Saccharomyces cerevisiae S288C: one gene and its partner. The protein of the gene in region 1 binds, or shares a complex with, the protein of each later gene. Each region holds a gene or a part of one and is shown on either strand. Other genes may lie near its edges. The genes, in order: SLD5 and PSF2. A codon is read from its position in the direction of its gene.

Evidence for each region.
Region 2: the proteins of SLD5 (region 1) and PSF2 are in contact, whole or in part, in a cryo-EM structure (PDB 3JC6), measured with the Saccharomyces cerevisiae proteins. Residues at the interface, in NP_010777.3 of Saccharomyces cerevisiae: Pro56 (codon at 1,328), Gln57 (codon at 1,325), Phe60 (codon at 1,316), Met64 (codon at 1,304), Trp67 (codon at 1,295), Lys68 (codon at 1,292), Arg71 (codon at 1,283), Arg90 (codon at 1,226), Gln94 (codon at 1,214), Ile101 (codon at 1,193), Glu121 (codon at 1,133), Ser122 (codon at 1,130), Leu124 (codon at 1,124), Pro125 (codon at 1,121), Leu127 (codon at 1,115), Cys128 (codon at 1,112), Met129 (codon at 1,109), Thr131 (codon at 1,103), Glu132 (codon at 1,100), Arg135 (codon at 1,091), Phe138 (codon at 1,082), Val139 (codon at 1,079), Arg145 (codon at 1,061), Cys146 (codon at 1,058), Ser149 (codon at 1,049), Asp152 (codon at 1,040), Asn225 (codon at 821), Lys226 (codon at 818), Phe227 (codon at 815), Phe229 (codon at 809); in NP_012463.1 of Saccharomyces cerevisiae: Leu3 (codon at 1,449), Pro4 (codon at 1,446), Gln8 (codon at 1,434), Gln9 (codon at 1,431), Thr10 (codon at 1,428), Phe11 (codon at 1,425), Ser12 (codon at 1,422), Glu15 (codon at 1,413), Phe18 (codon at 1,404), Ile19 (codon at 1,401), Asn22 (codon at 1,392), Trp50 (codon at 1,308), Leu52 (codon at 1,302), Thr54 (codon at 1,296), Thr55 (codon at 1,293), Asp56 (codon at 1,290), Asp57 (codon at 1,287), Lys58 (codon at 1,284), Trp74 (codon at 1,236), Ile75 (codon at 1,233), Leu78 (codon at 1,224), Leu79 (codon at 1,221), Gln82 (codon at 1,212), Lys84 (codon at 1,206), Trp117 (codon at 1,107), Glu165 (codon at 963), Ser166 (codon at 960), His167 (codon at 957), Leu168 (codon at 954), Gln169 (codon at 951).

What each region holds. Positions count from the first base shown.
Region 1 is NC_001136.10:1,428,793-1,432,504, reverse strand, and holds SLD5 (DNA replication protein SLD5), read right to left. Parts: upstream 1,494-3,712; coding exon 609-1,493; downstream 1-608. Other genes in the region: serine/threonine protein kinase PKH1, read left to right, coding at 1-537; PAC11 (dynein intermediate chain), read left to right, coding at 1,716-3,317; 3,4-dihydroxy-2-butanone-4-phosphate synthase RIB3, read left to right, coding at 3,525-3,712. UniProt on the Saccharomyces cerevisiae protein: Required for DNA replication. Functions as part of the GINS complex which plays an essential role in the initiation of DNA replication by binding to DNA replication origins and facilitating the assembly of the DNA replication machinery.
Region 2 is NC_001142.9:304,408-307,402, forward strand, and holds PSF2 (DNA replication protein PSF2), read right to left. Parts: upstream 1,456-2,995; coding exon 814-1,455; downstream 1-813. Other genes in the region: JEM1 (Jem1p), read left to right, coding at 1-711; ARG2 (acetyl-CoA:L-glutamate N-acetyltransferase), read left to right, coding at 1,725-2,995. UniProt on the Saccharomyces cerevisiae protein: Functions as part of the GINS complex which plays an essential role in the initiation of DNA replication by binding to DNA replication origins and facilitating the assembly of the DNA replication machinery.

The DNA of each region.
Region 1 (3,712 bases):
TTTTACAAGAAAATGTTTCTAATAACAAACCTAGGCAGAGCACTTGTTTTTGTCAAGAGAAGAAGTCTCAGCATGTGGGAAGAACAGGAATTTGAATTGCAATTCGAACTAGAGTTGAATGACGTTGAGAAGATACGCTTTATAAGTGATCAAGTCCTTGAAATTGACGGTTCCAGGACGATTTTCATAGGATGCAAAGAGAGAGCAGTTTTAATGAAACTATGGAAATTAATACATAATGGAATGACCGCCAAACCTAAAGTAGTATCGCCGAAGTCGGACCATAAAATGTTTGATAAGTTCATTCTTCAAAAAAGACAGAATACAAAAAAAAAGAATCAAGCTCCTCCCGTACCTCAATCGAATAGGCTAATAAATGGTTTACCGGACCGTTGCATCTTAAAGACACCCGAAGAAGGCGCACTTCACACAAAACGTCCCACTTCGTTGCAGACCCGATCGTCATCTAATTACTCAAAATTGCTGGCAAGATCGACACAAATGCGGAAAAACATGACACGGACAGATGAAAAATGAAACTGTGCTTGATAATATATATATATGCATATGTAAGACATGGTGAAGGGGAAAGTGTAATGCATAATAGTTCAAATAAGAGCAACTTTGTCGTCTCTCAGCAGATCCCTAATGACTTCATATCTCATAACGTAAATACTTCCAATAGTGAGTTCAACCTCTTCCTTTAAATCGGGTATTGTGACCGTGTAGCAAGGTTTACCGAACTCGTTTTCCTGCAATAGCGGATCTTCGTTCCATTTACCATCTGGTGGGCCGTTAACGTGTATAAAGACAAATTTGTTCCAGTCGGGCTCATCTATCATGTTTACGCTACCTTCTGTATCATTAATAGCCTGAAGTTCTTCGGGCATGTATTTCAGGATAGAATCATTGACTAGTTTCAACCAGATCAGGGAATGCGTGTCATGGTATTTGATTTCATCTTTGGATAGTAAATCTGTAAGAGAGATCAGCGAATTTTCATCTTCATTTAATTGGCGCAAATAAAGTGAGAATTTGTCAATTTTGCTTAGCCTACATCGTATGTAGCTTCTAATAACAAATTTCAATCTTTCTAACTCAGTTTCCATGCAGAGTAAAGGCAATTTAGATTCGTTAGGCATAGGCGGGTTCGCATTAGAAGCATTTTGCATATCGAGGAATCCCATTGAAATGTTTTCAATTAATTGAGATTGCATGGATATTCGATTCAATAATCTTTTCATCAACTGATGAGGATATGGTAAGAGTTCTGGCGAACACCGTTCATTTTTCCAAGACTTCATCAAGTCAGAAAAATCCTGCTGGGGAGAGACATATATCTGAGTCTTGTCATTCAAGTCTAAGGACGAACCCACTATTGTATTTGCATCTCTGTGGGTAGTGGAAGAAGAACCTTGCGTGATCTTGGTAGAGTCGACAGCAGTAGTTTCCTTATCCAGTTCTGCAAGAATATCGTCTATGTTAATGTCCATCACCGAGTCAGGTATCTTATTCTCCTTCCCAATACTAACAAATTTGGTTTTTCTTACCTATGGCTCAAATATAATGCTATTGAAATTTTCAGTACTAGTCCAAGGCGAAAAGAAAAAGAAATGAACTAGTTTTCGTGTTTTGCCGTAAACAAAGAGAAAAGGGAAAAAAGAGCATCACAGTTGGTTAATCAACCAAAGAGGAAGAAGGATTGAAACATTAAGATGGAGCGATTGAAGCAACTGGAGGAAAAAAGGAGACAATTGAAAGAGCTGCGTGAGAGGCGAAAACAAGCCAGCTTGTTCCCTGGGAGCGAGACGATGGGCCACCATCCCACAGAGGTGCACGCTAAGGCAACCATGGTCAGCGTTTCAGTGCAGACCGACATGGAGGAAGGCTCAAAGATTCAAGAGCCCCAATCTGCATATCTTCGACGTAAGGAGGTTATAACATACGACAAAGGCATTCAAACAGATCAAATTGAGGAAGAACAACTGCAAGAAAATGAAAATCACACCACTACTGATGCTGTCGCCATTGAAACTACTGCTGCCGACGAAAATAATAAAGACAAAGCTGAAAACGACCAGCCAAGGTTAGAACTAGCCAAACCTTTTCTTGTTGAAGAGGCGGCGGCAACGCTGAGCAACGCTAGTTTTGCGCGGCTGGAGACAGAGGTTTCTGCGTCAGGCCAGCAGGCGCCATCGAACATGCAACAGGATAAAGACAACCTCATGCAATGGAACATGGTCAGTGAGAATTTACAATCAGAGACAGACTGCGATTGTATCGCTCAGGAGTATGACCCAGGAAAAGGCGTCTTGGTTGTGGTTTATCTACGATTGCCGCCGGCAGACCTACAGTATGCTAGCAGCGAAGCGGCGTGGTCTGTGGTGAATGTAGTCAAGTGCGATAATGCCAGCGGACGCAACGGCCTCTTGATAGATATGGTAGAGTTCCGTGGTACGCGGATCATGACAGCCACGATCCTCCGTCGGTATCATCCGGAAAGCAATGTAATATCAATCTTGTTGGCGACCTTGACGGGCAAGATCATATTGTACGAGCTTAGATTGAAACAGAAAAAGCCAGAAACACCGGTAGTGTATGTCGTGCAGCGAAATATGGTGGCAAGACACTACTTTCAGCACCCAGTGGTGGCTGTAATTGAAACAAGCAGCGTGCAAGATCAAGAGAGAGTACTTGTGGCAGCTGATAATGGCAATATTATGGAGTTGAGCTGCCTGGACTTGACTGTTTTGCGGAAGCCACAGCAGCTCCGTCCTGTACCGCTATCACAGCTTTTATCTTTGGAGAATGATACTTGCACATATACGGAGCGATTGCAGCGGTTGGCAAAGTTTGATGAGGTAGGTATAGCTTGCATGGCGTACACGAGTGAGGACCCGCAGTACGTCTGGATCGGTGGCGAAGACGGTGGTATATACAAGGTTTTCTGGGACCAACCTGGGCCGCTGTACCTCTCTTTGGACAACAATGGGTTCCAACCTGCAGAAAACCACTCTACGAGGGTAACCGGGTTAGAGTTTCATTGGGACGATGCTCGGCGGCTAATGCTTCTATTATCATGTTCCACGGACTGGACGGTGCGGCTGTGGGACGCGCGAGCAGGGAAAGCTATCATAGGGGCGCCATTGTTGTTAGGGGGGCCCGTACTACGTGCACGCTGGCTCGAAAAAAACAATGGAGGGGAAAATAGTCGCACTCTACGGTGTCAAGTGTGGTGTGCAGATGGTCGCCTCGTTGTTGTAAATTGGGCTTTCGATGCTAAGACGTCCCTCTACACGGCCACTGTTATCTCCTAACGCCGCTTCGAGGCGGGTGAGCATAGGTTATTGCCTGATGAGTAATTTCTTAGCGAGAATTGATAAAAAAAAGCAAGGCTATTATTAATATACGTGCTATTGTGAAATTTTCATTGGCGTATATATGTGAGGTGAATGTAAATATCTCCAACAAAAAGCAGAAGGCTAAAAAAAAGGAAAGGAAAAGAAGAAAAGGCAACGTCGAAAATGTTTACACCAATTGATCAAGCTATAGAACACTTCAAGCAGAATAAGTTTGTAATTGTTATGGACGATGCCGGTCGTGAAAATGAAGGTGATCTTATTTGCGCTGCTGAAAATGTCAGCACTGAACAAATGGCCTTTCTTGTACGCCATTCCTCAGGCTACGTCTGTGCACCTATGACGAATGCCAT
Region 2 (2,995 bases), on another chromosome or scaffold:
GAAACATGGAAACACTATCAGGATGCTAAGTCCGAGCAAAAACCTTTACCTGAGACGGTATTGAGTGATGTATGGAATTCCAATCCTCATTTGCTGATGTATATGGTAAACTCAATACTTAATAAAAGTAGGTCTAAACCTCATTCACAGTTCAAAAAGCAATTATATGACCAGATAAACAAATTTTTCCAAGATAACGGCCTCTCAGAGTCGACCAATCCATACGTGATGAAGAACTTCCGATTATTACAGAAACAATTACAAACCTATAAAGAGCATAAACATCGGAATTTCAACCAGCAATATTTCCAACAACAACAACAGCAGCAACAACACCAACGACATCAAGCACCCCCAGCAGCGCCTAACTACGACCCAAAAAAGGACTATTATAAAATTCTTGGAGTATCGCCTAGTGCTAGTTCGAAAGAAATAAGGAAAGCATATTTAAATTTAACCAAAAAATACCACCCAGACAAAATAAAGGCCAACCATAACGACAAACAAGAATCAATTCACGAAACTATGTCACAAATCAATGAAGCGTACGAAACATTAAGTGATGACGATAAAAGGAAGGAATACGATCTTTCCAGATCAAACCCCCGCCGCAACACTTTTCCTCAGGGGCCTAGGCAAAATAACATGTTCAAAAATCCAGGAAGTGGCTTCCCATTCGGAAATGGCTTTAAAATGAATTTTGGGCTTTGATGAAATACATTCTATGCCCATTAACTAGGATACCACAACAAGTACATATATATACATACGCATATCACTGAAAGTTCTAATTATTGCAAAGCCAGCACTTTTTTAAATATTGAATTCTTCTTCATCATTTTCAGTACCAGCGGTAAGAGATGCTGTGTGAATTTCTCGCAGTTTATCCATGATTTCAGTAATGAACGGCCTCAACTCATTGATTTCTAATAGACTTAAATTATCCAATTGTAAATGAGATTCATTCAAATACTTAAGGCCTTTTAACACTTTGATCTGCCTTATTTCCCTTAAGTCTTGTATTTTACCACGTAATTCGTGAATGGGGTCATGAAAATCATCCTTAGCTTTATTGAAAAGTATACGTGCCAAGACAAGCCAGTTCCACGGCAACTCACTAAACCTATCCGGATGAGTTTTCTCATATTGTATTTTTCTATCAAGCTCTTTCGTCGTTAACCACTGTGGTGCTACAATACTGCACTTGGATTGTTGCTTCAGTAATAGAGCGATCCAAAGAACCACTTCTGTAGAACGCATGGCTACCATATTATTTAAAGCTTTGTCATCTGTAGTAATAAGTTGCCAGCGGGTGTGGTTTCCAGTTCCTCTATCATCGCCACGAATTTTTTGGCGTGTTGTTATTCTGGGAAAAATCTTTATTGGCTCGTTTTCCACAATGAACTGTATTTCTTCTGGTGAGAAAGTCTGCTGCAAATGTGCCGGTAGTGACATGCGTCTATGAAACTAGTCTTATTTCAGATCAGCCGTTGATCCTCTCTAAGTATAAAACTCTTTTTTGTTAACCATTTCATAGTTACACTTTAGGCGACTGATTTTTCATTAAATGGAAAATATCACAAGAAATTTCACGCTGGAGAAAAAAAAGGTTAGTCATCACTGATCTTCCCATGGAGTCATAAGCACGTTCGACATAAATTGTGAAAGTTAACACATTTGAAGCTAGGACCGTCAATCTAGGACACTAGTCGGTTACTTTTATCATGTGGAGGAGAATATTCGCGCATGAACTCAAGTATGATCAACCCAATGCATCTTCAAAAAACTTGATCCTTTCAGTTCTGAATACAACCGCTACAAAACGAGAGGCTAAGGATTATCTCTCAAAATATACAAATGATAGTGGGCAGCATAATCATTGTTTGTTTTTTATCAGGGACCTGCATAAAGTCGCACCAGCGATTTTGTCCCAGTTTTCAAGTGTCATAAAGAGACTAGGAATGCTAGGTTTGCGACCTATGTTTGTAATTCCGCCGTCGCCAACTCATGTAAATATACAGGCAGAGTTACTTGACAGTATCGTTACAGAAGCAGATTTAAAGCCACTTCACCTTAAGGAGGGTCTTACTAAATCCCGCACTGGGTTATATCATTCTGTTTTTTCGCAAGAGAGTCGTTTCTTTGATATTGGAAATTCCAATTTTATACCAATTGTGAAACCTTATGTGTATAATGAAGAGACTGCTTCAGAATTCATGACAAAGGATGTTGTAAAATTTATGGATTGCCTGTGCCAAGGGAATATTCCACACATTGACAAATTCTTCATTCTAAATAATGCCGGAGGTATACCTTCGGGAGAGAGAAATGATAACGCTCATGTATTCATCAATCTTTCTCAGGAACTCGAGCATTTGTCCTCGTCATTATCTCACAATATAAGCACTCTAACCAAACGAGAGCCACGCTCCCAAAACCTGTTACACAGAATGGAGGTGTACGTTAAAAAAGATGAGATATCTTCCTTAGAATGTGAATACCATGATCATTTAGAAAACCTGTTATTGATGGACAAAGTTTTATCAAATCTAGCGGCTACAGCAACGGGACTGATTACAACTGTCAAAGCTGCCGCACTATCATCAGATAGGAAAAATCCTTTAGTATATAATTTATTGACAGACCGATCGCTAATTTCTTCTTCTTTACCAAGGTTTAAAAAAAAGGACGGCGAGATAGACTCACCAGCCAACATGTTTGATGATCACGCATGGTATGAATTGCCTTCCCAACAGGTAAATGCAGCTCCTTCTAACTCAGATGCAGTTTTAGTGACAACTGTTCTCAAAAAGGGCGTCCATATCAAAACTTATGACTATAAGACGCTGACTCAATTCAACTCAATTGGGCTTCCAAAGAAGTTTCACGTACCTGAGAAAGGAGCAAAACCCTCGAGCAATAGTCCAAAACTAGATATCAACAAATTTAAATCCATCATCGATCAGAGCTTTAAAAGATCTTTGGATTTGCATGA